5 linked regions of the Sus scrofa genome follow. The protein of the gene in region 5 purifies or fractionates together with the protein of the main gene of each other region. This does not show direct contact. Links are inferred from orthologs where the notes say so. Each region holds a gene or a part of one and is shown on either strand. Other genes may lie near its edges. The genes, in order: NEK7, USP50, TRIM31, MAVS and NLRP3.

Region 1 (5,784 bases), on a different chromosome or scaffold from region 5:
ATCCACTCCCTTAAGGGAGGCACGGCCACGAGATCTGTTTCAGCCAATAAAGTAAGTGGGGTAATTTGTGTTACGCTGGAGCAGAGACGCTGAACCAAGAGCCAGTGAGGGATGCTTCATGATCCTGCCCTCAGGAGGTCACGACAGCACATGCAGATATGCGGATCACACAGGACGGAAGCTGCGCCAAGTACCAAGTGACCACGTGGAGGGAAGGCAGCTGCCTCGGACCCCCCCATGGGCCCACAGTGGCTCCGGGGGACCAGAGGGATAGTCTGCTTCGGTGCCAAGTGACTGAGCTGCTGCTCCTGTTTCTTCCTGCAGCATAACGTAACCTATCCTAACTGGTGCATTTTGTTAACTCCGTCCTTTGATGTGTGGCCTCTCTCCAAGCCCATTTGTTTCATCAGTATGTGCTGAGCATCTGTTTTGTGCAATGCCCTCTCCTAGGCATGTGAGACACATCAGGGAACCTAAACCACGGAGATCTCAGTCCTCATGAAGCTTATACACAGCTGGGGGAGAGAGACAGAAAGCACTAAGCCTGATAAGGATTTACTAGCATATTCAAAGATGAATATGCTGGGAAAAAAGAAAAAATGAGACTAGGATAAAGATCAGGAATTCTAGGGATGGTGTGGGAGTGGGCGTCAGGTTCAGTATTCAATAGAATGAACAACAAGCCCCACTCGACCCACTGCATGACACTGCGGAACAAGAAAGCGGAGAAAACTTGCTTTAAAACTGCTTGCAAATAATAAAATGCTACACACATATTCGCTGCTGCTGATGCTGCTGACATTTAATAGCAGCAGATGTTTCCTCCGGGTCATTATTACAGGAAACCAAGATAGTTTGACATTAAAAATCATATATTTGGATTATTTCGAAATAATCCAAGGTGAAATGAAAAAAAATTACACCCTGATTGCCATGTTCCTATTTCACAGGTCTCGGCGTTTTAGTTTTCAGTCCAGAAAAGCTACTCCTTTAGAAATACCTGCCCAAGTTGGGGGTAGACAGAATGGTTACTGAAGAAAGACTTCAATATCCTATAGGCCCACTTTCTGTTTATTTCTGAGACATGGGCAGCAAAAGCAGTTAAGTCCAGGACCAGGGGCAGCTCCTATCAGCTCCTCCACAATGTGCAAAGCACAACAACGTAACTCCAGATGGAAGCAAGTAGCAACAAGCCAAAAAACAGAGACAGAGTGGGGAAAACTGCACAAGGTGCATTCAGTGATGAAACACAGTACACGTGGGACAGTGAACCCAGACGCAGCAGCTGGGGCTCCCTGCTTTCGCTGGGGCTCTCTGCTTTCCAGGCGCACAGCCGTGTGCCCCCATGCCCTGGTCTCCTGGACTCCAGGAGAGGAACACTTTGCACCCTGAGCTCACACACAACTGTAAGGACCTCGGGGAGCTGAAACTATAGTCTCTGGTGCACATTGCTGCCCGCCTCCAGCAGCACAGGAAACTCTGCAAATGACTGGTTTATGTCTGACCAACTGAACTGGCCAGCCAGCCAGTCGGGAGAAGGCTGACAGTAGCTAGAGAAATGGGGAGTCTGTCTTCAAGTAAATGGAACAGCACGAAGGTACTGCAAACACAGACTAATGCTTTCCAAATTGCGGGTTATAACCCATTAACGAGTTGTGAAATCAATTCAGTGGGTTGCAAATAACATTATTTATAGTAACATAAAATAAAACAGAACAGACGACATCAGAATGAACTGCAGTTGTAACAGAAAACACTGTTACATGAAACTTCTGCTTCAGACATACATGGCTGTGCTCCCGTGGGGTCACCGTGTTGCTGGGGGGTCGATGTCAAGAAATTTGAAAGCCTCTTAACTAGTCTAGCCAAAACCTTGATTCAAGAGAGAGGTGTGTTCTCATCATAAATTTTAAAGATACAGACATATTTATGTATACATAAAACACATTTTATAGTATCTGACCATTTATAAGGTTGACAGACAAATGAAAGACAACAAAGGGATATGTGCCCCTTCTCAGAGAAGTTAATAAATGGCTTGATCAAGGTCCTATGGAACATCCCCACTCTCGCCAAGCATCGTTCTGTCTCGCCTTGGTAACACAGGACAGCAGTACCTCTTTAAAAGTAAAAATTAGGGTCAACCGGTCAACAAAGAAAAGCCTGTCTTAAGATTTCTATCCTTGTTATTTTATACATACTATTTGCTAGCAAAGAATTTTTCCTGATCCTTCTACATAGGATTTTTATTGGGTCCAAAGAGGGCTAGAGTTCAAACTTTAATTCTTGACGTTCACCATACTTTGCTTCGTGAACTTACAGTTTCAAATCATCAAAATCTTTGCAGAGAAGACAGGCAGGAATAAAAAGCTTTCTTATTTTAAGAATATGGAAAACAAAACATGAGTGAAGGAAATTATTTTTCTATTGATTCATTTATCGGAGAAACAGTCTCATTGCTACTTCCTTAGCATGTGTTTCAGAATGTTTGGTAATTTGGGGCATCCTCATTTATTGTGTGTGTGTGTGTGTGTGTGTACATATAAAAAACTAAGAGACCCTAAATGAACTGATTTAGATAAAAACTGACATCAGAAATTCTTAATGAATTATAAGATCTCCTAAAATTTTATTCTCTATATCACATAATTTGAACTAACATATCACCTAAATCTAGAGATGCGTATATATTTTTAAACCCCATTCAGAGATACTGTAAGAGGTGGTAGCAGGCAAGCTAAAGAAATCCATTTTCAAAACTGGTGAGATCTGGGTTTCACATAATATGCTGGATCATTAAGGTCAGGCAACTAACTAACGCATGCTCAGGGAGACAGCTTGCAAAGCAGCACTTAAACAATACACATGCATGGGCAGGATCATGGGTACATGCAGGGTGTGTGTGTGTGTGTGTGTGTGTGTGTGTGTGGGTGTGTGTGGGTGTGTGTAACTGTGCCCTGGCATTTTAAGTAGATTGATGACAGGGTGCTATCAGGACATGCTGTTCAGGTGAATAACAGAGTGACAACATGTTATCGTTGCTAATGATAAATGGCACTGGCTTGGAGCACTCTGATGTTTTCTTCACAGAAATACTCTCCTACTTGCACTGTGAGGGTTGGAAAGTCCAGATAAAACTTTATTACAGTGCTTTGCCAATTTAAGCATTTCATATGGAATGTCACATCAAATTTTCTTATCTGGGAAAAAAAAAACTGTAATGCTCTGCAAGAATAAATGTAGAGTGAAAGAAAAAATAAAAACAGTATTACTTGGCATCAGTTGAAATTTTACTTCCTCAAAGTACTTGACAAAAGTGAAACTCTGCGTGAAGGGTAAAGTGTTATTTTTCCACAACTCCTTCATCTGAGATCCAATATTCTGCCATTCAGTAAATATTGATGAGGTGCCTACTTAGGCATCACATCCTGTTGTAGATACAGAGGAGTTAAATGACACGTTCAAGGCCACACAGAACCTTAGAACAAACCCAGACAAACTTTAAAAATGTCTGGTCAACTAACTCAGACGCTGGTCTCACTACTTGTTATTTAGTGCAACTCATTTACTCCTCATTGGGCCATTTGAAATTTACTATTTTGCATTTAAAAACAATTTTATCCAAAAAAAAAAATCACTTGTTTTCAATGAAATTATGAAAAAGATACGGCACCACTAGCCAACTTATTTCTACTGTTTCTAAGCTGGACAACCTCCTTTCCATTAATATAATGTCGTACTAATAACTACATTCGGCTCTCTTTTGGGTGTGAAGGAAACTGGTATGTTGCCAGCTCTAGAATGAATAACTTACAGATATCTTTCTACTTTCTAATTGAGAAGTATTTTCCCCATTAGCCACAGATCATGTATGTTGCCCCTCTGCAGTAATCACAACCGTGTATGTTACTTTAATAAATTAAACATTTACAAACTACCATAATAATTGTTAATGGTCAGGTGAGGTCCTCTTTCAAGATATGGTTTGTTCTTCATGTTATCTCTATATTACTCCATGTAAAAGAAAAGATCCTTGGAAATACAACCAGATTGGTTCATTAGCACTGTCTTTCACTAAGCGCCTGCCTGAGGTCAAATTAACAAAGTATCCGACTGTCCTGAATGGACACATTATACCTGATAAACCTGTATCGGCTCAGATCTGATGATGTTAAAAAGTGTTATTTAGACTATAAGAGCTGGCACATAAATGGTAGATCCCTTATACATTTAACCACGGGGGTGGGGGAAGAAAGGTGGGCAGGTAGTGGGTAGATAATTGAAGGAAACCATCTCTTACCTAACGAATGTGCAGCTGTGGTTTTGGAGCTAAAAAACCGGCCAAGGCCGAGATCTCCAAGTTTGACCACCCCAGTGGCCGTGATGAACACATTAGCCGGCTTTATATCTGTGAATAAATGAAGGCATCCGGTGAAACATGGTGTCAGGTTAGGCAAAGTCAAAGGATTGAAAACCACTTCTCAACTGTAGAATTTAAAATACATCTTTAAAACGAAAGTCAGGCTAAATTTTGAAACTGTCCTCTTATTTTGAGTAATTTTCATGTATCCGAATACCTCCGAGTTCTCAGTCCTCTGATAGATAATCATCGACGGAGCAGGAGGATGGCTATTCATATTCACTTAGAATGCATTTTGTTTGCTGTTTTCAAATAAACGTCTATGAAATTCAAAGCACAAAATAAATGTGTGCCAGTCTTAAATCAATCTTAAATAAAATAGCTTACAAATAGTAATTTATTGATATGCTTACTTGAACTAGAAATCAAAACTCTATTATGCATATAATTACTTACTTAGATGACCTCAGAAATTTTAATTGCTTAAATAAGTTGTATTGAAACTGTGCACATCTCAAAATCAAGGAATCAATTCCTTAGTGATGTAACCTTCCCCCATTCTGCCCAACCATCTGACTGATAAGCAAGAACGTGTTAGGAGTGGATGCAGAAAATTAAAAATCTAAGTACCTATGATGTATACTGTACATTTAAAAAAAAAAAAAAACCTCTCTTCCTTATACATATTCAACTGCTCTCCTGCATCTATTTTTTCCCTTTACTAACAGAATCAGTTAAAAAAAAAAAACTAAAAAAAAAAAGTCCAACAGAAAAATAATTAATTCTAATTCTTATTTAAAACCACATATGGCTTTACTTAAAGGCTTATCATTCTAGTAAAATTACAATTTGGAAATAAATTACCTGGGAAGGCATGATACTATGCGATGACCAGAAGGCATGTATTCTTAAGCTGCCTAGGAACCTGCATCGTTTAAACCAACCCTAGAAGTTCCTCGGGATTTGGCTCACCTCGGTGCATGACTCGCCGAGAATGCATGTGCTCTAAGGCGCTGCAGAGCTGGACAAAGTACTTCCAAACAGTTCTCTCAGGAATCAGCCTCTTCTGTTTCTTAAAGTGCTATTGAAAAAATTAAAGATGAGATTTTAAAAAAACTAAAATTATCTTCAGACTAGACTCTGACCAGCAAAAACCCTAAGTCAGAAAACCACCTACTCATGTCTATTACCAGATTTAAAAGAAACCACACCCTTTTCCACAGCAAAACAATTCCAAGATTTTTACCTGACATAATAGCTTAAATGTCTCCCTGTTGTATCTAAAGTTGGTACAGGCTACATACAGCAGGCTACATCTTTGTGATATCCACCTATTTCAAAAAATTAACATGTACAGAAAATAATTTCCTATCCTAGAGGGGGAAGAAGGAGGATGTCAACTTTTATTTTAAGAAAAGCCAGAA
Region 2 (5,837 bases), on a different chromosome or scaffold from region 5:
TTGAAATGCTTATAAAGATACCGGATCGCTATGGCTGGCCATGTAAGGGAATTCTAGGACAGTGAGAGCTGTGTTACTATCACCATATATTTTAGGTCAGTGCTATTAATCAAAAATCTGACCAGTAAAATTTAACAAGTATTGCAGTAAGCATTCCTGACAGGTACCATTTATTTCAAAAAAACTTTTTAAGTTTGCTCTAGAGTTAAAATAATTAACTAGCTAAGCATTATTATTCTGCTGGTCTAAAAACCATTGTATCCTTTATTTTCCGTTTCACTGTTATGGCCTTTTCACATTTCCAAATCTCAGCTTGATCTATGAATACTCTAGAATGATGTAAAGCAGATAGGAATGTATGTGTATATATTTATTGCACACTTGCACATCAAATCGATGTACATAGTATAATATGTGGTCCTTTTGTGAAGCCTAGATCTCAGAGGATTGCTTTTTTTTTCTTCCTTTTGGCCTATCCTGAGTAACTGCAGTGCTTTCTTAGGGAAATGACAGGGCAAAGCTCTTTTTCTGTTGGCTTTGGGCTGTATTTGTGCACTAAACCTTTATTCTAAAAAAATAAATGGAAACTTTTCTTTAATTTTTTAAAATGAGAATTTTCATTTACACCTACATTAAAATCTTAATGAGAAAAATAATTTAAAATCCTGTAAGTGTTCTGTCTTTAATTTTATATTATCACACATAGGACAGAATAACTAAAGATTTTATACACACATACACACACTTTATCCCACTACAGTGACTTAGAATTTAGTTCGCTTACTCTGTTACATCAGTTGATTCCACTCTTCCTTCATCTTGACCCCGAACTACATATAACACTTACGAGTCTCAGGATTGGGAGTCAGATATAATAAAACCAGACTTATTCTATCAAGAGTGTAGAATTCTTTGGATTAAGATTTTAAAAAAAAGAGTCAGGCATGACTGCAAAACTGCATTATAAACCACATCTTTATAAAGTGATGCATTTGGAGTTCCCGTTGTGGCACAGGGCAAACTAATCTGATTAGTATCCACGAGAACATGGGTTCAATCCCTGGCCTCACTCAGTGGGTTAAGGATCTGGTGTTGCCGAGAGCTGTGATGTAGCTCACAGACATGGCTCGGATCTCAAGTTGCTGTGGCTGCGGTGTAGGCTGGTGGCTGTAGCTCTGATTCGACCTCTAGCCTGGGAACTTCCATATGCCATGGGTGCAGCCCTAAAAAGTGGAAAAAAAAAAAAAGTGATTTATTAATAGGAACAGAGGAGCTTAGAATTTCACTTACCTCAGGGACTCAGTTGTTACAGATAAAATCAATATAAACACTCCATATAAAAACAAAATTCTAAAGGTGCTTCTAAAAGATGTCACCACTAGTGGACTCCCAGGAAGAAGATGAAAGGATAGGTTTTGAATTGTGAAACTGACGACTTCATGTACCACAAGTAGTCTGAGATTAAAGCTTCTTGGCTAAATTATCTGATCAAATTAAATATTTTCAGCTCACATTCTAAGCTCACAGAGCCATTCGAACAAAAGTTATTTCGGTTTAGCTCTGTGAAATATCTTCGGAAAATAACTCTTTGGATATAAATAATTATGAGACAGTTTATGGTAAAAAATAAATAAATACCCTAATAAACACTGCACTTTGAAGCCTGAACACAATATGTAGTCTAAGTGCTTTGAAGGCTCCCAGCCCATTGGCATTGCATCATTCTTATGCTGCCTTTTTTTGGTGGTCCAGGACCCATCTTTGTTATAGACTTATAAAAGTTTGCATAATATGCCAGAAAGACTTAAATGTGATGCAGGTAAGTTGCAAGAGTTTTAATGATAGTACAGAACTTAAGTACCAGTTTCTGACTACTTGTTTTGCAGTTTTCAGGAATTACCATATTCCTAACTCTTGCATTTTTGTATAGGTATAGAAAAGGGCTGGCAGCTATAGAACAGGAGATACGCTGTAGCAGTTTGAACTGAAGTGTCCGGAATCTCACTGACTCGTGTGTCATCAAAGCTATACCAGGCCTGGGTCACCGAGTTCTTGCAGAAAGCAGTGTAGTGGCCACCATCCAGATCACCAAAATGGTTCTAGAGGAGAAAGGAATGTCAGCATTAGTATTTACATTCGAATACTTTAAACACTTGGAATCAAAAAGGTAGGGCCAATAAATATTTTTTCTAATTGTCCCATATACTGGATTAAAAGGAAATGGTAATTTTGTTAAGTTAAATCCCACATATAGCCTGACTGCTATATTTTTCTTAATCACTGAACTTATATATTGTGTACATTGATTATTTAACAGAATCTGTGAATGAAGTAGGACAATATTTGGCAGCATCTAATATTTATTCATTAATACTTACTGAGCACGTACTGTACATAGACTATTAAACATCAAGGGAAATTTTAAAATAAGAAAATAATAATCTTTCCTAAATGAGCTTATTGTTTAATTTTGACGACATGAAAAAAAAATTTAACATTGGAGCAGGACATGAAAACAACTGTATATTGCTACCACACAATTTGAGGCTGTTGTACTTGAACAACAGTTCTCCTGGTCATCTAAGGCCCCCCAAAAGAACCTGTTCCATCCTCTTTTTCGCATGTCTTTCCTAACCCAGTCAAAGAGTGTCTGAAGCAAAGGCATTGGAGAACCTCACTTCTCAGAAGGTGGTCTGGTATAGGCCAGGGGTTGACAAACTATTTGCGCATGGGTCAAAAAGCCAGCCCACTGCCTGTTTGTATATGGTCTGTGAATTAAGAATGCATTTTATATTTTTATACGGTTGAAGAAAGTCAAAAGAATAATATTTTGTGACATGTGAAAATTATAAATTATATGAAATTCAGATTTTTCAATGTCCTTAAATAAAGTTTTATGGGAACCCAGCCATGCTCACTCGTTTATGTTTTTTGTTTTGTTTTTTTGTTTTTGTCTTTGTCTTTTTAAGGCTGCATCTGTGGCATATGGAGGTTCCCAGGCTAGGGGTCGAATCAGAGCTGTAGCTGCTGGCCTGCACCACAGCCACAACAATGCGGGATTCGAGCCGCCTCTGCAAACTACAGCACAGCTCGTGGCAACACCGGATCCTTAACCCACTGAGCGAGGCCAGGGATGGAACCTACGTCCTCATGGATTCTAGTCGGGTTCATTAACCACTGAGCCATGATGGGAACTCCTCCTTGTTTATGTTTTTAGCTGGCTGTTCTCACACTACAACAGTAAAGTTGAATAATTGCAGTACAGACTAGAGACTATATGGCTTGCAGAGCCTAAAATATTTACTGTCTAGCTTTTTACAGAATAAGTTTGTTGATCCCTAGGGTAGAGTGAAGAAAATGGATTTTTTAAATTCATTCTGACTATGAATTCAGCTCTAATACTACACAGTGACCTTAAGGAAACCATCTGAGCTTTAATTCCCCTGTCGTTTAAAATGGGGTAATTAGATCTGTCTTGTCTTACATGGCTACTATTTCTCTCTTAGTGCTGCCATATAGGAAGTACTTGGTTAAATATTTCCTAAGACCTTCATCTTCCCTCCCTCTCCCCCTACATGTTAGAGAAATATCCCAAAGCTGACATTTAAAAGATGCAGTCTTGGAGTTCCCGTCGTGGCGCAGTGGTTAACGAATCCAACTAGGAACCATGAGGTTGCGGGTTCAATCCCTAGCCTTGCTCAGAGGGTTAAGGATCTGGTGTTGCCGTGAGCTGTGGTGTAGGTTGCAGACACGGCTTGGATCCCGCGTTGCTGTGCCTCTGGCGTAGGCCAGTGGCTACAGCTCTGATTAGACCCCTAGCCTGGGAAACTCCATATGCCTTGGGAAGCGGCCCTAGAAAAGGCAAAAAGACAAAAAAAATTAAAATAAATAAAAGATCCAGTCTTTGATCCTGGTCCTTGCCATGTTACCTTAAGCTGATAGGCTCTTTAGCTTCCTTATTTATAAAATGGTGCCTATAATGGTGTGATTGTAATTTGACTGACAGAAACATCTGGTGGATCCAGATAATGAAGTAGTGTTTTAAAGTGACTAGACAGACCACAGCTGGAATATGTTCAGTTGGATGACTTATTGTTAAACAAACAAACAAAAAACTTAGTCAAAGAGAATGAAGCCTCTTTCTAGATTTCCATTCCCAGTAACTTGGGCAGACAATTAGCTAGCCTGAAAGCCTTAGTTATGGAAGTGCTGGAGAAAACCTGTTAAATACCCTTTGAAATATATGGCTAACTTTAAAGACTGTATAACGAAAGTAATCCCCAGAGGCCAAGAACAGAAGAAATAAAAAGATTAGCATAGCATGTGGTTCGTGTTGTGACTTCCTGGGAGTAAAGACAGTCCCTGGTTCCTGGAACCAGGGTACTTGCGTTAAGGACTGGAGGAGGTTAAGTCTTAGGTCCCAGCAAGGCGAGGAGTTGGGTTGGAGATCCACACACATAACCACAACTCTTAAAGAGATTCGTCCTCAATAAAACAATGAACTAGGAGAGAAAAACCCATCCTCCAGTGCTTAGCTTAGCTTAGGCTCTGGGTACATAGAACAAAAGTCATTCCTAGAAGCTTGTTACCACAGACTGACTTCTCTTTGGTTTGGATTCAAAGTTACACTACCTGGGGAATTCCCTGGTAGCTCAGAAGGTTAAGGATCTGTTGTTGTGGCATGGGTTCATTCCCTGGCCTGGGAACTTCAACATGCCTTGGAAAAAAAAATTTTTTTCACTACCTGTGTGTCTCAGAATCCTGTGAATTTTTTTTTTTTTTTTTTGGCCATACCCATGGCACATGGAAGTTCTCGAGCCACAAACTGAATCTGAGCCACAGCTATGACCTGGATCTTTAACTCACCGTGCCATAGCAGGAACTCCAGAATCTTGTGAATTTAATGTTAGAAGTATTCTGGGGTTGCCTTTGGCAAAAGGGAAGATAATTACTTTCTGGTTTGATGTATTTAATTCAGGCTGCACAGGATACCCACATAAGACAAAAACCTAGTAATGCTGAACTGACAATTTAGTATTACAGAACACACAAGGAAACAATTCACCATGAGTAAGAGTTAAAAGGCAATAAATAGAGACTATATAAAAGGTATAGACATTTAAGAAAAAGGAAGCAGACTTTGGAATCCTGAAAGGAACTTCTAGAAGTGAAAAATATAATACTTGAAATTAAAAATTCAGTGTAGAGATTAACTAGTACATAGAATTGAACAGAGAATGAATAAACTATAGAAATGAAACTGAGGAAATTACTCTGAATATCGTAGTAATAGGAAATTGAATGAAGACATTCAATGTATGTCTAATAGGTGTTTCAGAGAATAGAGTATAGGCAATATTGAAAGTGATAATGACTAGAAATGATTAATGAAAGATGAATCTTCAAATTTAGTAAATACCAAGCATAGTGAACCAAAGCATAAATAAAAATTTATACCAAGCATAAATACCAAATTTAGTGAACCAGGCATAAATAAAAATAGTGCTGCAAGACAACACAAAGAGAAAAATCTTTAAAGCAACCAGAAAAAAAGATTACCCACATGATGATAGAACTCCATAGCAGCCATATAAATCAGAAATAATAGGAGTTCCTGGCGTGGTGCAGTGTTTAACAAATCCGACTAGGAACCATGATGTTGTTGAGGGTTCGATCCCTGGCCTTGCTGAGTGGGTTAAGGATCTGGTGTTGCTGTGAGTTGTGGTGTAGGTCGAAGATGTGGCTCGGATCCCATGTTGCTGTGGCTCTGGCATAGGCCGGTGGCTACAGCTCCGATTCGACCCCTAGCCTGGGAAACTCCATATGCCACGGGAGCG
Region 3 (6,321 bases), on a different chromosome or scaffold from region 5:
AGTTAACCATACTGTATTGTATACTCGAAAGTTGCCTCAAGAATAGATCTTTAATGTTCTCACATTAATAACAACAAAAAGGTAACTATGTGAAGAGAAGGATGTGTGAACTAATCTTATCATGGCAAACATTTCACAATATATACACGTACCAAAGCATCGCACTGTGCACTTAATCCTTCACAATGTTCTATGTCAATTATGTATCAGTAAAGCTGGGGGATGGGGGCGGGTGGGGGAAGGAAGGTCAGATGTCTTCAGGGGCCAGGCAGACAAGAGGGAGGAAGAAGTGGTAGGGGAAATAAAACACCCACCCTCTCTAAAGTCATCCAAATTACCCTTATGTTGAAAATCACCAGGTCAAATAAAACCTGGTTTAATAGTTAAATTCTGCCTCCAGGGGTCAGCAGTTTAAGATGCGTATAAGCTATAAAATATTACGCAAACATTAAGATGCTTTAATTCAACCTCAAAGCAAACAACGAGAAAGATCTTTTCATAACATTTCTGAAACAGAGGTATAATATTTCTGAAAGCCTGTGGCTTGCAACGGTTGCTATAATTAGGGTAATTGTATAATCTGTCATCCAAGCAGGACACTTTTGAGAATGGAAGGAAGTGCTACTCATCACACCAGCACCATCCCAGGCAAACCAGAATATATGATCACTCCGACTATAATCAGAACATCACTCCCAAGCCCTGTCTGACCTAAGATTAGGATCTGGTAAACATGAAGGGGTCACTCCTTGGTGGGGACAGATGGCAGAGAGAGAGGAGGTAAGGGCGGAGGCTGGGATGGAGAGGGAATGGGAAGCGAGAAAGGATCCTTCTCTTACACAAGGAGGCAAGGTTACAATGATGCAAATGGAGGTTGGGGGACACTGGTCGATATTTTCCTGGTCAGGACCGAAGCCCCAGGGGAAGGTGTTTCAGAGATCAGAGAAGCACCAAGAAGCAGGAAGAAATACAGACAAAACAAAGAATGCTCATGGAGACGCTAGAGATGGAAAACATTTGAGAAAAAACCCAAAGAGGACAGATTTGCTACAGGTGCTATGGGGAAGTAAAAGATCAGCCAGGATGGAGAACAGCCCTTTCAGAGAGGAAGTTCCTTGCTCCTCCCACTGTGCTAGGAATCCCCCCCCCAGCCCCGCCCCATGAGGGGAATGGTTGCTTTTCCTTATAAATAATGGGAAAGCCCCTGAGTGGGTGATTACATCTTCCACATTTGCACAAAACTCTTAAAAGGGTAGAGCCAAACTACAAGAGGCAGGGAATTACCCTCTTCCTTCCTTTCCATGTTTTTCCATGGTTCGGGCTCTGCATACAAGAGATGTTCAACGCATCACTGGTGACCTGCTGTGACCTTTCGGGAGGTGACTTCCAGCCCCTCTACTCCCTCCCTGAACAACTGCCAGTGGACTTTGGTGCCCTGGTCCTTCTGATCTCTGTTAATGGCCTCATAAACATATCTTTAATTAGTCCAAGGTTCAGGACAACTTGCCCCATTTTATAAGCAGGATAAATCCATTTACAATATCCATTTGTTCGCGAGAGGTAGTGAGGTAGCATTGCCCATCGGTTTTCTTCTTTATGATAGTCCCTACATTGGTTTTACTCTTTTCTTTTTGCCTTTTTTTTTTTCTGTTTATTTATTTATTTATTTTTTGCTTTTTAGGGCCACACCCGTGGCATAAATAAATTCCCAGGCTAGGGGTCGAATCGGAGGTCGAATCGGAGCTACAGCTGCCAGCCTACACCACAGCCACAGCAACGCAGGCTCCGAGCCATGTCTGTGAGCTACGCCACAACTCATGGCAATGCTGGATCCTTAACCCACTGAGTGAGGCCAGGGATAGAACCCGATCATGGATATGAGTTGTGTTCGCTAACCGCTGAGCCACGATGGGAACTCCTGGTTTTAATCTTTTCTATTATTCTTTTTTTTTTTTTTTAATCTTTTCTATTATTCCTTTTTTTTCTCTAGCACTTCTTTTCCTCCTTCCTGCTTCTCTGATGGACCCTTTGACCTTCATCTCCTCTGTTTCCTCCTTTTGTAGAACCAGTGTCCACAGCAGGATCCTAGACTCTCTGCAGACTTGACGCTGCCGTCGTCTCCATCATGGCTGGTCAGCAGTTTACCAACAAGCTTCAGGAGGAGGTGATCTGCCCCATCTGCATGGATATCCTGCAGGACCCTGCTACCATCGACTGTGGGCACAGTTTCTGCCTCCAATGCATCATGCGGAGCAGGGAAGGATTGGACAGCGTTATTAAATGTCCCCTCTGCAACAAAATTGTGAAGAGGGACACGATAAGGCCCAACTGGCTGTTGGTGAATCTGGTGGAGAAAATCCAAGCTATGGATCCCTCCGAGGAACAGCCAGAAGTGAAAGAGCTGAAGTGTCCGAAGCACGGGGAGAGGTTTCATTACTTCTGTGAGTCCGATGGGAAGGTCCTCTGTGTGGCGTGTTGTGGATCCAAGGACCACAAATTCCACAACACAATTTTGCTAGAAGAAGCTGCCCAGAGTTTTCAGGTAGGCATTTGGGGGTCCCTTCCCTGTTCCCCCACCACAGACCAGGAGTTCAGTGAGGGCCTGGAAACCGTCACCTCCTGCCTCTGGTTTGTACCGCATTGCTGCCATCTTGGCACTTGAGCAGACACTTCACGGTCAGGTCCGGTAGGTTCAAATGTCTGTGTGTGAAGAGCTGATGCCTGTTGAAGCCAAGGGGTAATGGAGAATGGAAAGAATGCAGGGATTTTGAGACAGAAGGTGTGGGTCCAGATTCAGACTCCTGAATTGACTCTGTGACCTTCAAGGAATTCCTTTACCTCTCTGTGCTTCGCCTTTCAAATGGGACAAACAAAATGTATTTTTAAAGAATTGTTGGTATGGGAGTTCCCACCATGGGTCAGTGGTTAACGAATCTGACTAGGAACCATGAGGTTGCGGGTTCGATCCCTGCCCTTGCTCAGTGGGTTAAGGTTCTGGCGTTGCCGTGAGCTGTGGTGTAGGTTGCAGACTCGGCTCGGATCCTGCGTTGGGTGGCTGTGGTGTAGGCTTGGCAGCTACAGCTCCAATTAGACTCCCAGCCTGGGAACCTCCATATGCCGCGGGTGCCGCCCTAGAAAAGGCAAAAAGACCAAAAAAAAAAAAGGAATTGTTGGTATGGCAAATGAGAGGTTTGTGGAAATGCTTCAGTAATCCCAAAGCACATCCAAATATTAGTCATTAATATATTAGTTATAATTTACTAGCACATTCCTTTCTAGTGCATCACTTAGGCTCCGACACTGCACCCCAGCCCCCAGTTTGAACAGCAAAGGTGGCTCTATTAATCTTTATACAAGGATAGAGTTCCCATTGTGGCTCAGTGGTTAATGAATCTGACTAGCATCCATGAGGACGCAGGTTCAATCTGGCCTTGCTCAGTGGGTTAAGGATCTGGCATTGGCGTGAGCTGTGGTGTAGGTTCAGATGTGGTTCAGATCCCGTGTTACTGTGGCTGTGACGTAGGCCGGCAGCTACAGCTCCAATTCGACCCCTAGCCTGGGAACCTCCATATGCTGCAGATGCAGCCTTAAAAAGCAAAAAAAAAAAAAAATCATTACACAAGGATGCACCCACCCTCCAGGGAGATCAGAGGGTGTCATGAGGCCAAGAAAACTCCAGGAATTGCCAAGATAACTCTCTCCCCACAGGGGCAGATTCAATCACAGGTGGAGGCCCTGCTGCAAAAGGAGAGGGCGATCGTTCAAATGAAGTTACAAGGTGACCAGAGGATCACTACCTTGATGGTAAGAAAAAAACTCAGGAGTTTCTGTCATGGCTCAGTGGAAATGAAAATGACTAGAATCCATGAGGATATGGATTCAATCCCTGGCCTCGCTCAGTGGGTTAGAAATCTGGCATTGCCATGAGCTGTGGTGTGGGTCACAGATGCGGCTCAGATCCTGCATTGCTGTGGCTGTGGTGTAGACTGGCAGCTCCAGCTCCTATTTGACCCCTAGCCTAGGAACCTCCATATGCTGTGGGTGCAGCCCCCAAAAGACAAAAAAGACAAAAAACTTTTAAAAAGAAAAAAAAGAAAATGAAGACATTGTAAACCCACCTAATTATCTTTACCTGTGTTGTGTGTGTGTGTGTGTGTGTGTGTGTGTGTGTGCTCACGCACGTGCAGAGGGAAAAAAAATCTGTGTGAAAGCCAATTATAAACTGAAAAGCCTTCTGGAAATGTGAGTACTAGATACCGAAGTATTAAGTGTTAGATATGTAGGTGCTATCAGACAAGAAACATAAACAAGTAACCCCAAACAAAAATGAAGCACATAGTAAGTGCTTTAAAAAATGCTGTTCTCGGGGAGTTCCTGTCATGGCTCAGTGGTTAACGAATCCAACTAGGAACCATGAGGTTGTGGGTTCAGTCCCTGGCCTCGATCACTGGGTTAAGGATCCGGCATTGCCGTGAGCTGTGGTGTGGGTCCCAGACGCTGCTCGGATCTGGTGTTGCTGTGGCTCTGGCGTAGGACGGTGGCTACAGTTCTGATTGGACCCCTAGCCTGGGAACCTCCATATGCCGAGGGAGTGGCCCTAGAAAAGGCAAAAAGACAAAAAAAAAAAAAATGTTGTTTTCTTCCCCTTTCCTTTTCTCCAGGTCTGTCATGCTGCTCAGGATAAACTTAATACAATGGAAACTGAGTAAAAAGGGGTAGAAGGAGCTTTGAGGCCACCCTCGCATCTTCTGAGTGTCCGTTTTCCTTGCCCCCAGGCCCAGGTCGAACAGGAGAAGCAAAAGATCAGCACGGTATTCGAACAGCTGCTTCAGGCGTTGAAGGAGGAGAAGAACTTCCTCCTGTCTCGGATCAACTGGCTGGATCAGGAGCTGACCAAGGACAGGAACTCCTACCTCGCTTCCGCCGAGGCGCAGCTGCAGTCTCTCAGGAAGCTTAAGGATTCCCTGAAGGCCAGGCAGCTTCTGCCGCCCAGAGAGATGCTCCAGGTAAGAGTTCCTGGGGGGCCAAGTTGTAAGGAGCTAGCGTCCCTCCTAGTCACAGCTCAGCGCACTGACCACCTGGCACAATACCAGAGACGGCCACCACTCTCCTGCCCCAGGCCCCGTGCTGCCCAGGACAAGGACGGTGTGAGCCACGGTGTGATTTAGTGCATAATGCACACCATGTATGTCATTTAGAAATATAACAGGATGGAGTTCCCGTCGTGGCTCAGTGGTTAACGGATCCAACTAGGAACCATGAGGTTTCGGGTTCCATCCCTGGCCTTGCTCAGTGGGCTAAGGATCCAGCGTTGCCGTGAGCTGTGGTGTAGGTCGCAGACGCAGCTCTGATCTTGCGTTGCTGTGGCTCTGGCGTAGGCTGGCGGCTACAGCTCCGATTGGACCCCTAGCCTGGGAACCTCCATATACCGAAGAAGCAGCCCAAGAAATTGTAAAAAGACCAAAAAAGAAAAAAGAAATATAACAGGAACATGTGTATAATTCAGAATTATATTACACATATGCAATTTAAACTTTTTCTAGTAGCCACATTAAAAAGATAAAAAGAAAAATAATTTGAACACCATATTTTATTTAACCCAATATATCCAAAATATTCTCATTTCAATCTGTTAACCAGTATTCTTAAAGTATTCAGGAAATATTTTATAAACCTCCCCCCTTTAAAAAAATTGAGTCACTGTGGCTCAGTGGGCTAAGTCCCTGACTAGTATCCATGAGGATGCGGGTTGGATCCCTGGCCTCACCCAGTGGGTTAAGAATCCATTGTTGCCGCAAGCTGTGACATCACAGATGTGGTTCTTGTATCCTGTGTTGCCGTGGCTGTGGCTGGCAGCTGCAGCTCTGACTGGACCCTACCCTGGGAACTTCCATATGTGGCTGGTGTGACCATAAAAAGAAAAATAAATAAATAAAAACAAAAACTGAGTCTTTGAAATCTGGTATATGTTTGGCAGATCTTAACTCAGACAGCAATTTTTTTTTTCACTTTTTTTTTTTTTTTTTTTGTATTTTGTCTTTTTGTTTTTGTTGTTGTTTTTGCTATTTCTTGGGCCACTCCCGCGGCATATGGAGGTTCCCAGGCTAGGGGTCCAATCGGAGCTGTAGCCACCGGCCTACGCCAGAGCCACAGCAACGAGGGATCCGAGCTGCGTCTGCAACCTACACCACAGCTCACGGCAACGCCGGATCCTTAACCCACTGAGCAAGGGCAGGGACAGAACTCGCAACCTCATGGTTCCCAGTCGGATTCGCTAACCACTGCACCACGACAGGAACTCCAGACAGCAAATTTTTAATG
Region 4 (5,784 bases), on a different chromosome or scaffold from region 5:
TTTCCTGGGCCGCTCCCTCGGCATATGGAGGTTCCCAGGCTAGGGGTCCAATCGGAGCTGTAGCCACCAGCCTACACCAGAGCCACAGCAACGCGGGATCCGAGCTGCATCTGCAACCTACCCCACTGAGCAAGGGCAGGGACTGAACCCGCAACCTCATGGTTCATAGTCGGATTCGTTAACCACTGCGCCACGATGGGAACTCCTCCGAGTTAGGTATACTCTTAACAGCTAGATGACTGTAGGAAAAGTAGAATTCCTGAATAATCGGTTAATGATGAGGTCAGCTGATGAGGTCAGTTGACCAATGGTCTTGAAGAGCCTTGTGTGGAGCTTTGGCTCTGCCCTGTTCTCCATTTCATTAGTAATTTGGTGGCTCATCCTGCACACAGTGGGGAAAAAAAAATCCAGAAACAGAGGGTCCTCAAACAACTGAAACAATGACCAAATTGTTTGGATTGTTACATGAACTAAATTCAATTCAACAAAGGCCTATTTCGCTTGGCAACAATAGTTTGTAGAAGGGAGAGGGGTGGACTGGGGGGGTTGGGATTGGTGTAAGCACACTGTGGTCTATGGAATGACTGGCCAACGGGGACCTGTATGCAGCACAGGGAACTTGACCCAATATTCTGTGATGATCTATACAGGAAAATATACACTACTTTCCCTGCAGGAAAAAATGTTCCTTGGCCATCAGCTTCACCAGAGTGTATTGGTGGAAAGCAAGGGACCTCAAGGCCTGAATGACTCCATGCCTAAGAGACTCCTGTAAAAGCAGGAGACAGGCTGTGGAGTTTGAATCTGGACAAGAGTGGGAAGGTCTGCCCACTGGAAGGGCTCTGCCAGAGCCTAGAGGAGACCCCACATGCAATGGGGCAAACTGCCACTGGACATGCCCATTGATCGTCACCTTTCTGGGACAGAAGCAGTGGCCAGACACCTCAGGGGAGCTTGTTAGTAAAGGAATCCCCTCTGATTCCCTCCTCCTAAGAGAGGGACCCAGTGCTGCTCACACTTTGAACTGGTTCAAGAGGGATGTCACCACCGATGCCAAGAAACCAAGAGGGGAATGCCTCGTTGTTACCTCATGCTACCTTGGAAGAAAACACAGGTCCTTTGCCACAAAATCCTCTTGTCCCAAGTCTTTCCCTTGGCTTTGAACTCCTCACTCCCTGATTTACAAAAGGCACCTGTACAAAAAATGGGGAATCAAGCAGGAATGAACAAGACTGACCATGAGGCATTCCTGGTGGCTCAGCGGCAATGAACCCAGCTAATATCCATGAAGATGCAGGTTTGATCCCTGGCCTTGCTCAGTGGGCTAAAGATCTGGTGTTGCCTGTGAGCTGTGGTGTAAGTCACAGATGTGGCTCGGATCACGCATTGCTGTGGCTGAGGCTTTGGCCAGCAGCTACAGCTTTGATTCGACCCCTAGCCTGGGCACCTCCATATGCTGTGGGTGTGGCCCCAAAAAGACAAAAAACAAAACAAACAAACAAAAAGACTAGCCATGTGTCCACAATTACTGATGCTGGATGATGGGCATATGGAGTGGGGAGTATTATTCTATCTATTCTACCGTGTGAGCTTAAAAGTTTTTCATAAAAAAAAAAAAAAATGCTTAGAAGCTACGGGAGTTCTCCTCTGGTGCAGTGGGTTAAAGATCCAGCATTGGCTTGGGTTGCTGCCATCGCCCAGGTTTGATTCCTGACCCAGGAACTTCCACAATGCCACAGGCGTGGCCGATAAACAAACAAAAGAAGCTATGAATAACCCAACCCAAAGCCTGAAAGAGGAAAGGGCATCTTGCTGATATTTGACCAGAAATTCCCCTAAGTCAGTTAAATCTGAGTACATCCAACCAGGAAAACAAGGTGAGGATGTGATGTGAGTCTGGCTGCAGTGGGTCATCAAGCAAAGGTGACAGCTATTTCCCAGCAAAAGAGAAGCATTGGTGGCTCTTGGGCTTTGCAGGAAATGTTTCAACAGGAGAGAGAAAAGATGGAGAGGGTGTTTTGTTTTTTTTTTTAAATACGGATGTATACTGGGCTACAGGTGAGGCTGCTGTAAGTGTTTAGGATGCCATTGGCCCCTCTGGCCCCACAGCCTTTACTGAAAGGTAAAGGGTGCTTCTCCAAGCCTCTAGGTAGAGGTGGCTGTGCTCACCTCTTGGGGTAAAGGCCCTCTTTGGTCCTCCCTCCCTCCACATCACTCAGGCCATGGGGATGAGGAACCCTCCCACACGCACCCTCTTGCTGCTGAAACCCAGGACTCCTGAGATATGACACATCCCATCAACTCCCCCAAGCCCTCTTCTGGCCACAGGCCTCCATATACTGGCCAATTCCCAAGCCTGCTTCAAGTTGGCATTTTAGAGGCCTTCAGATCAACAACAGCCAAAATAGGGGTGCTGTTCGATGCAGGCCAAGTCAGGGCTTCTGGGGAGCATAATTTGCAAAGGACCAGGTACATCCCTGACTGCTTTCTACACACCTTATCCAAAAAGTATCTCCCCCTTGGCTGGTCACCGTACTTGAAATCCTACCTTTTTTCTTTTTTTGCTTTTTAGAGCTGCCCCCATATGGAGGTTCCCAGGCTAGGGGTCTAATTGGAGCTACAGCTGCCAGTCTACGCCACAGCCTCAGCAACGCCAGATCCGAGCTGAATCTGTGAACTACACCACAGCTCACAGCAATGCTGGATCCTTAGCCCACTGAGCGAGGCCAGGGATCAAGCCTGCAACCTCATGGTTCCTAGTCGGATTCATTTCCTCTGAGCCATGATGGGAATTCTGAAATCCTACCATTTATGTAGCATCCCTTAGGTCTACACACTGCTGTCGAGATACTTTGTTCCCAAGCCACCTTGAGAGGGTAGCACTTTAAAACCAGTACCTGTGCATGAATTGTTCCCTGACTTGGATACCTGGGAGTGAAGAAGGAGCACAGAGGGGTGGTTAAGAGCAAGGGTGATAGGGAGTGGTTGCAGACAGCGTGGGTAGGGACCACTCCTAGCTTCAGGGTGCAGGTTGTTCCATTTGGAGAGGGTTGAAGAGAAATCTAGAGGTAGAAGCCAAGGTCATTAGGCTGCTGAGGTCCCCTAGGGCAGTGCAAAGAAAGGCTGTAGCAGCCCAAGCAGGGTGCAGGACCCTGCAGACTGACAGCTTGGGGGCGGGTCCCAGGGACGCCCACCCCTTATGTCTCCTCAGGGCTCTGGTCCTGCTTGCAGAGCCCAGAAATGAAGGGAGCTCCCGAGGCCCCTGTCCCTGCCCCTTGTCCAGCAATGGCTGCCTGAAAAGAACCCACTAGGGTACCCCCCAATCCATCTGGTTGCTGGGGAGCACCCCAGCCCCCACCCTGCAGAATTGCCCCAGTGGATAGACCTCCCTCCCCAGTAATTCCCCAGTGCCCGGGACAAAGGAAGGGGCAAATATAAAAGGGACATAGGCGTATGGCCTGGCTCTGCTTCTAACGGTGTAGCCAAGTGCTCCAGTCCCTCCACATTGAATAGTGACAAACATGTACCCAACCCTTAGTCAATGAAATGCCAGGAACCATTCTAAGATTTAAATAGATAAACTCATTTAATCCTTATGACACTAGGACGTGTGTATCTATATATATAAAATTCCACTACTCATCCTCTTTTTACAGGTGAGAAAACTAAGGCACAGAGAGGTTAATATCTTGCCCAAGAGCACAGAATTAGTGAGAGCGGGATGCAGACCTAGGCCACCCTACAGCACAGTGGTACCCCCTTACCCACCTGGCTCCCTGCCTCTCACCCCTCATCTCCACCAGGCCGGGCAGGGAGAGATGGGGAAAAGCATTTAGCAGCCACCTGCTCTGAGCCAGGCACTTGACAAAGACATGTAGGCTTCAATCTCAGGAGAAGGCAGTGAAGGATAAGGCATGACACTCACCGTCCACATGGGTGAGCAAGACCAGAGAAGTCTGATGAGCTGCCAAGGCCACACAGCCCAGGAAGGGGTGGAGCCGAAATCTGCACCTTGGCCTGAGCTCTGCCCTGCAGGTGTTCCCTCCCCAGCCCCCATAGGGAGGTGAAGAGAGACCAGGATACGGGGGCTGGAGAGGGGCTCTTTAGGTGGTTCTCAGGCCCAGCAGCTGGTCAGGCTTCCCAGGGGTCCATGGGACTCTCCGGACCTCCTCCCATCCTTGTGTGCCAGGGGAGGCAGGGGACTAGGTCCTTAGAGATGGGCCACCATGCTGTTCCTGGGGCCCCTGGGGGCTGGAGCAAAGTCCTGTGGGGCCCCCTGCCCCACCCATCTGCTGTGGGCTGCCAGGGATCAGGGCAGGACAGCGGATGTTGTTGACGCCCTGCGGTCTCCAGCTGCACCTCCTGATCCTTGGACTTGGGACAGAGGCACCTCCTCCAGAGGACAAAGGTAACAACCCAGATGGCCAGATGGTCTGGAGCACCCAGGGCAGCACGGGTCCCCAAAAGCCAAGGATGGTGGGGGAGCCACAGAGGACAATGGGACCGAAATGCTCCCTGCTAGGACTAAGCCTGGGGCCCCCTGCCTCCCCTCTGACCCAGCCTCTGCCAGCTCCACAAAAGGGTCAGGGATGCTGGGATAACTTGGCTCTGTGGCTCAGGCAGATGTATCTTGGAGAAGGGAACAGATACGTGGTGGACAGGGCCCAGGAGCCTCACTGGGGCAGGCGCCGCCGGTACAGCATGGCCAGGAGTGTGGCCAGAAGCACCCCAACCACCGCCACCCCAACCCACGGAGCCCTAGCCTCAGTCTTGACCTCTTCCAACCCCTCTTCCAACTCCTCCTCTGCCTGGAACTCCGAGGCAGTGAGTGGCCCCGGGCTGTCCCCTACAGGTGGGGTGCTGGGGTCCCCCTGGATCCTAATAGTATCCACTGACACGTACTCGTTCTCCTCTGGGGTGTTGTCAGGCCCTGAGCCCAGAGGATTGCTGTAGCTGATGGCGAGGTCCTCGGAGGAGCCCGAGAAAGGCTGGCTATCCATCCTGGACACCAGCCTACCAGGCTTGCTCAGCTCCGGCTCCTCTGAGTCCCAGCGGTCAGAGTTGCTGTCTGGCCAGGGCGAGGTGCCTCCAGCAGCAGTGCCTATGGGCGCTGGAGATGCTGGAGTCTCCTGGGAAAGAAAGAAGGGGCTGGAGAGACTGAGGCTGGCAGGGGAAAAGCCAGGTTGGGTGGCCCCATTCCCAGGCCAGGCCAAGAACTAGCACCATACCCCAGAGTGCCCAACCCACGGATGGTACAGGAGGACAGCAGGGGAGAAGGGGACCTCCTCTAGGGCTGACAGCTCCACTCACTGGCCTGCCTGTGAGCTCACTCCCACCCCACGAGCCCCTGGTCACGTGTGGTCCCATCTACTTCAGCATCCTGCCTGGGCTTCAAGGCCGTGGAGCAGGTACAGGGTAGACAAGAGGCTGGGCCATGCACACAAAGGGCTTCATGAACTTGGTTCCTCCAGGCAGACAGCAGCAGTAGGGTTAGAGGCACAGGCTCAGAGTCTGCTGAATCAGAGCGGCTGCTCCAGGCTGGACGGGCTGGGACTGCAGTTTGTCCCACCTGGTCATGGTAGGGCAACCAGATCTCCCAGTGGTGAAGAGCAAGCCATCGAGGCCCATAAGCCACCCTGCCCTACCCCTCCCCACTCAGCTTAAAAGGGAGCTGTGAGGAGTTCCCCGTCATGGCTCAGCAGTAACGAATCCAACTAGTATTCATGAGGATGCAGGTTCGATTCCTGGCCTCGCTCAGTGGGTTAAAGATCTGGCGTTGCTGGG
Region 5 (5,784 bases):
ATTGTATCCATAAGGATGGAGGTTCAATACCTGGCCTCACTCAGTAGGTTAAGGATCTGGCATGGACACAAGCTGCAGTGTAGTTTGCAGATTCAGCTCAGATCCAGTATTTCTGTGGCTGTTGTGCAGGCCAGCAGCTGCAGCTCTGATTCAACCCCTAGCCTGAGAACATCCATATGCTGAAGGTGTGTCCATAAAAAAATTTTTTTTAATTTCCAAGCCAAGACACAACACAGGAATAAAATCTCTGAGGTGAGACCAAGCATGTTGAAATTTTTAACACTTCCAGGTCATTCCAAAATGCAGCTATTGTTTAAAAATGCAGATTCTGACTCCATGGGTCCAGGATCAGACACTTCTAACAGGCACCAGGTAGATGCCCAGGCTGCTGGTCCTTAGAAGTTTCTAGAACATATAAAGCAATCTCCTGTCCTCAGAGGAAGGTAACTGTCATCTAGCAAGAATCTCCTTACCGCTGAGAATATGCAACATGAGACTCAGAGAGGATACAATTGTCCACATCAGAGTGTTGAACATCCTCCTCCTCTATCTCCTCTTCCTCCTCCTCCTCTTTGGGTGAATTATGGAGCAACCTCAGAGAAAGTGATTCCACATGGCGACAGTTCTCAATACAAAAAGAAGAAACTACATGGTCCATTCTGGTGGAGAGATTGATCTCAATTTTAGGGAAATGGCCCATGGCCTTTTGCACAAAGTCCTCCTCCTGCATTTCGTACAAACAGTAAAATAATTCCAGCTGGCTGGGCTCAATCTGTAGCTTCTTGGCCTTGGCTTTCGCTTCAATCCATTTAAGCAGCTCTAGCCTGATTTTCTGAGAGATCTTACAACTCAGTTTTTTCTCCAAGTAGGACGTTCTCTCCTGGTTTACAAGGCCAAAGAGGAAACGGACAACAAAAATCAGATACCCCTTTTCAAATTTGCCATAGTTTTCAAGAAGAACTGTCACGTCTCGACTGGGAAGCTTCAAACAGCTTCGTGGCACATTCCTCATCTCCCCCTGATCCTCCTTTTCCAGTAGATAGTACATGGCAGCAAAGAACTCCTGGAAAGTCATGTGAATGAAGCTGTAGAATTTCTCACAGTCTACTTCCTTTTGGAATAGGTTCATCCTCAGGAAAGCAGACACATCTGCCTTCTGCAGGCCATGGTTCCTGAGATCACACTCCTCAAACAGGATTTTCTGATTCCAGATTCCATCCGCAGCCAGTGAGCAGAGACCCCAGAGGGTGGCAGAGACGTGGTGGTCCTGGCTCCCTTCTTGAGATTGCAACAAAGTGGAGAGGAAGAAGATATACACGGCAGTGGTGGTCTTGGATGTCCTGGCAAGACTCTTGCCGCTATCCATCTGCTGTTTCAGCCCAGTGCACACAATCCAGCAGACCAGGGGAATAAAGCACATGGTGAACAGGACCTCATTCTCCTGAATCAGCCTGAAGGCTTCCCTTGCTTGCTGTTCATCTGAAAAATACTTAAAGAAATATTCCTTCCTCTTGGCCTCTGAGAAACCCAGAATCTCCACATGACGAGCCCGGCCCAGCAAGTGCTGAAGTTTCTCCAGGGCCACAGGTCTTGTGGTGATGAGCAGGGAGGCCTCAGGAAGCAGTCTTTTTCTGATGAGGCTGCTCAGGAGAATGTCTCCCCGCTCCACCTTCTGCCAGTTTGTGCAGAGTGCCTCTGTGCGCTCATCAAAGGCACCTTGCAGCTCATCAAAGCCATCCATGAGGAAGAGGATCCTGGAAGGCTTGCTCACAATCTTGCCTATGGGTGGGTTTGGGCCAGGGCAGCAGCTGGCGATCAGGTCTCCCAGGCTCCTCCGAGTTCCTAGGCTCACCTCCCGACAGTGAATGTAAAACAAATAGTCAAATTTTTCCTGGTAAAGTTTCTCTGATGCCCAGTCCAACATGATCTTCCTGGCCAGTATTGTTTTCCCAATGCCTGCTGCTCCCTGGAATACTACCGTGTGCACAGGCTCAGAGTGTTGGTCCTCAGGATCAAACAGCAATTCCAAGTTCAGGGAACTCACGGGGCCATCTTGCATCTTGGCTGAGGTCCTGCCAATGGCAAGGAGCTCATGCTCCCTCTCCTGCTGACTCCGGTGTTCCTTGATGAGACGCAGCCTGGTGAAGCGTTTGTTGAGGTTCACACTCTCACCCAGACGTGCATTCCTGTCTTTGATGCACTGGAATCTGCTTCTCACGTGCTTTCTGTACTTCTTACAATAATCTGTGGCAGAAAAAGAAAGTTAGACTTTGGGCAAAGCCTGAGCTCATCCACCAGAGATAAGCTTTCATCAGGGGCCTGTGGTGTGTAAGGAGTGGTAACTGAAATTGAGAAATGGAAGTTGCAGTTTCTCTGCACTGCTTAGGTATGGACAAATGGAAGATTCTGACACCCTAATGGAAAATCTAGAGTGTCAAAATCTTATTACACTTTTTTTTTAATTTTCAAAGTTTTATTGAACTTTGAAATATATTGTTGAACAGAACAGCCAAGTGTCATAGGCACTGTTCCAGGCCAGAAAACACTTTTTATTCAGTTTACTTCTTTAGATACTCTGCAGCTCATGCTTTTTAAAGACTTAAGCACTTAATTATGTACCCTTGGTTCTTAGACTGCAAGGAGCCATGCCAGCATGAATCTATTTCTTCAGCTGAGATTGACTTTTTCACCCCAAGGAACAGGAACATGTTAGGATCACCAAGATATCCAGCTTCCCAGCTTCAAGTACCTACCAAACCAAGTCTCCAAACCCAATTGGAAATGCCACCTCCTTTTCTTACCTTTCTTTTTCTTACAAATAGAGATTCTGGAAAGGTACCCCAGTAAACCCATCCATTCCTCTTCAAGGCTTTCTTCCTGGCTTATCACAGAAAGATTTGCATTGTCTGGGAATAAAAGGAAGAAAAATGCAAAATATCAAAACCCAGAAACCCTAAGATGATGTAATGGAGATTCAATATCCAACACCTGACACAGGTCAAAGGCACCTGCCCTAAAGATCTCCCAAACCAAAATCAGCTCAGTTGAATGTTCAGTTGGGGACAATCCTGTACTCCTCATTTCCAAGCAATGCTTCCCACCTAGCATTGTGTCCACACAGTATCCAGTCTCAGATCTCCCAGGCTGGAAATCAAATTGCAAACATATGAGGCAAAGAAGGTTTCTCTTATTCTCATGTCTCTGAACAATTCCCTCCCTGGTGCTCTGGTTTTGAGACCATCCTCAAACTCTCCAATATCTCCACAATGGCCAAAGCACTCACAATCATCCTCCTCTGACACAAATGCCTGGAATTCATCTTACCCACATTCTGAGTCTTCAAAAGTAAAAATAATCACATCATAAAAAGCCTACGAACAGTTAATGCTGGAGAGGCTATGGAGAAAAAGGAACCCTTTACGATGTTGCTGGGCATGAAAATTGGCACAACCACTATGGAGAACAGTATGGCAGTTCCTTAAAAAACTAAAAATAGAACCATCACATAATCCTTCAATCCCATCCTTGGGCATATATCTGGAGAAAACTATCATTAAAAAAAAAGATAAATGCATTTTAAAATTTTTTTGGAAGCACAAAAGACCCAGAATAGCCAAAGACATCCTGAGAAAGAAAAAGGGAGCTGAAAGAATCAGGCTCCCTGACTTCAGAATATACTACAAAGCAACAATCGTCAAAACCATATGGTACTGGCACAAAGACAGAAATACAGATTCGTGGAACAGGATAGAAAGCCCAGAATTAAACCCATGCACCTGCAGCCAACTCCTCTCTGACAAAGGAGGCAAGAATATACAATGGAGAAAAGACAGCCTGCTCAATAAGTGGTGCTGGGAAAAATGGACAGCCACATAGAAAAGAATGAAATTAGAACACTCCCAAATGCCACACACAAAAATAAACTCCAAATGGAGTAAAGACCTAGATAGAAGACCAGACACTATAAAACTCTCAGAGAAAAACAGAGGCCAAACACTCTCTGACATAAATGACAGCAACATCTTCTCAGATCCACCTCTTAGAAGTATTGACAATAAAAACAAAAATAAACAAATGGGACCTGATCAAACTTCAACGTTTCTGCACAGCAAAGGAAACCCTAAACAACACAAAAAGACAACCCACAGAATGGGAGGAAATCTTTGCAAGTCAATCAACTGACAAGGGATTCATCTCCAAAATTTATAAACACCTTCTGCAGCTCCATACCAAAAAAACAAACAACCCCATCAAAACATGAGCAGAAGATCTAAACAGACAGTTCTCCAAAGAAGACATACAGATGGCCAAAAAACACATGAAAAGATGTTCAACATCCCTCATTATTAGAGAAAGGACGATCAAAACCATGATGAGGTACCACCTCACACCAGCCAGAATGGCCTGCATCCAAAAGTCTACAAACAGGAGTTCCCGTCGTGGCGCAGTGGTTAACGAATCCGACTAGGAACCATGAGGTTGTGGGTTCAGTCCCTGCCCTTGCTCAGTGGGTTAACGATCCGGCGTTGCCATGAGCTGTGGTGTAGGTTGCAGATGCGGCTCGGATCCCGTGTTGCTGTGGCTCTGTTATAGGCCTGTGGCTACAGCTCCAATTAGACAGCCTGGGAGCCTCCATATGCCGCGGAAGCGGCCCAAAGAAATAGCAAAAAAAAAAAAAAAAAAAAAAAAAGACAAAAGTCTACAAACAATAAAGGCTGGAGAGGGGGTGGAGAAAAGGGAGCCCTATTACACTGTTGGTGGGAATGTAAATTGGTACAGCCACTGTGGAAAACAGTATGGAGATACCTCAGAAAACTAAACATAGAACTACCATTTGATCCAACATTCCCACCCCTGGGCATCTATCCAGAGAAAACCATGATTCGCAAAGACACATGTACTCCGATGTTCATTGCAGCACTGTTTGCAATAGCCAAGACGTGGAAACAACCTAAATGTCCATCGACAGAGGAGTGGATCCAGAAGATGAGGTACATGTACACAATGGAATATTACTCAGCCATTAAAAGGAACGAAATACCAGCAAATTTAGCAACATGGATGGACTTGGAAATTGTCATACTAAGTGAAGTCAGCCATACAATGAGTCACCAACATCAAATGCTTTCACTGACATGTGGAATCTGAAAAAAGGACAGACTGAACTTCTTTGCAGAACAGATGCTGACTCATAGACATTGAAATACTTATGGTCTCCAGAGGAGACGGTTTGAGGGGTGGGGGGATGTGCTTGGGTTGTGGGATGGAAATCCTGTGAAATTGGATTGTGATGATCATTGTACAACTACAGATGTGATAAATTCATTGAGTAATAAAAAATTTAAAAAAAAGATAAATGCACCTCAGTGTTCATTGCAGCACTGTGTACAATAGCCAAGATATGGAAGCAACTTAAATGTCTATCAACAGATGAATGAATAAAGAAGATGTGGTATAGGATTACCTAATCTGTTAACCTGAGGTTAAGGATCTGGTATTGTCATCACCATGGCTTGAGTCACTGCTATGGCATGGGTTCAGTCCCTGGCCAGGGAACTTCCATATGCCACAGCCAAAAAGTAAAATAAATAAATAATGTTTAAGAGAAAAAAGAAAAAATTCTGAAAAAAGAGTATATATGTGTGTGCATGTGTGTGTATCTACATCACTGTGTTGTACACCTGAAACTAATATAATACAGTAAAACAACTATACCTCAAACAAATATTGTTAATCAATAAAGAAATAAAAGCAGTAAAATAAAATATAACCCCAAAAGTATAT

Evidence for each region.
Region 1: the proteins of NLRP3 (region 5) and NEK7 purify together in Homo sapiens (affinity purification with western blotting; 9 studies listed by BioGRID and IntAct, with this or other methods). This does not show direct contact. The link is inferred for Sus scrofa from reciprocal best matches to the Homo sapiens genes NLRP3 and NEK7.
Region 2: the proteins of NLRP3 (region 5) and USP50 purify together in Homo sapiens (affinity purification with western blotting; 3 studies listed by BioGRID). This does not show direct contact. The link is inferred for Sus scrofa from reciprocal best matches to the Homo sapiens genes NLRP3 and USP50.
Region 3: the proteins of NLRP3 (region 5) and TRIM31 purify together in Homo sapiens (affinity purification with western blotting; 3 studies listed by BioGRID). This does not show direct contact. The link is inferred for Sus scrofa from reciprocal best matches to the Homo sapiens genes NLRP3 and TRIM31.
Region 4: the proteins of NLRP3 (region 5) and MAVS purify together in Homo sapiens (affinity purification with western blotting; 4 studies listed by BioGRID and IntAct, with this or other methods). This does not show direct contact. The link is inferred for Sus scrofa from reciprocal best matches to the Homo sapiens genes NLRP3 and MAVS.

What each region holds. Positions count from the first base shown.
Region 1 is NC_010452.4:21,077,241-21,083,024, reverse strand, and holds part of NEK7 (serine/threonine-protein kinase Nek7), read right to left. Parts: intron 5,442-5,784; coding exon 5,333-5,441; intron 4,409-5,332; coding exon 4,301-4,408; intron 1-4,300. UniProt on the Homo sapiens protein: Protein kinase which plays an important role in mitotic cell cycle progression. Required for microtubule nucleation activity of the centrosome, robust mitotic spindle formation and cytokinesis.
Region 2 is NC_010443.5:121,303,100-121,308,936, reverse strand, and holds the end of USP50 (inactive ubiquitin carboxyl-terminal hydrolase 50), read right to left. Parts: intron 2,907-5,837; exon of another isoform or gene 2,100-2,906; coding exon 1,908-2,099; downstream 1-1,907. UniProt on the Homo sapiens protein: Deubiquitinating enzyme that removes conjugated ubiquitin from specific proteins to regulate different cellular processes. Regulates the inflammasome signaling pathway by deubiquitinating 'Lys-63'-linked polyubiquitination of the PYCARD/ASC adapter protein.
Region 3 is NC_010449.5:22,676,838-22,683,158, reverse strand, and holds the start of TRIM31 (E3 ubiquitin-protein ligase TRIM31), read left to right. Parts: upstream 1-1,927; 5' UTR 1,928-2,125; coding exon 2,126-2,542; intron 2,543-3,708; coding exon 3,709-3,804; intron 3,805-4,775; coding exon 4,776-5,006; intron 5,007-6,321.
Region 4 is NC_010459.5:31,850,903-31,856,686, forward strand, and holds part of MAVS (mitochondrial antiviral-signaling protein), read right to left. Parts: intron 5,130-5,784; coding exon 4,674-5,129; 3' UTR 1-4,673.
Region 5 is NC_010444.4:56,966,292-56,972,075, forward strand, and holds part of NLRP3 (NACHT, LRR and PYD domains-containing protein 3), read right to left. Parts: intron 2,907-5,784; coding exon 2,802-2,906; intron 2,245-2,801; coding exon 474-2,244; intron 1-473. UniProt on the Homo sapiens protein: Sensor component of the NLRP3 inflammasome, which mediates inflammasome activation in response to defects in membrane integrity, leading to secretion of inflammatory cytokines IL1B and IL18 and pyroptosis.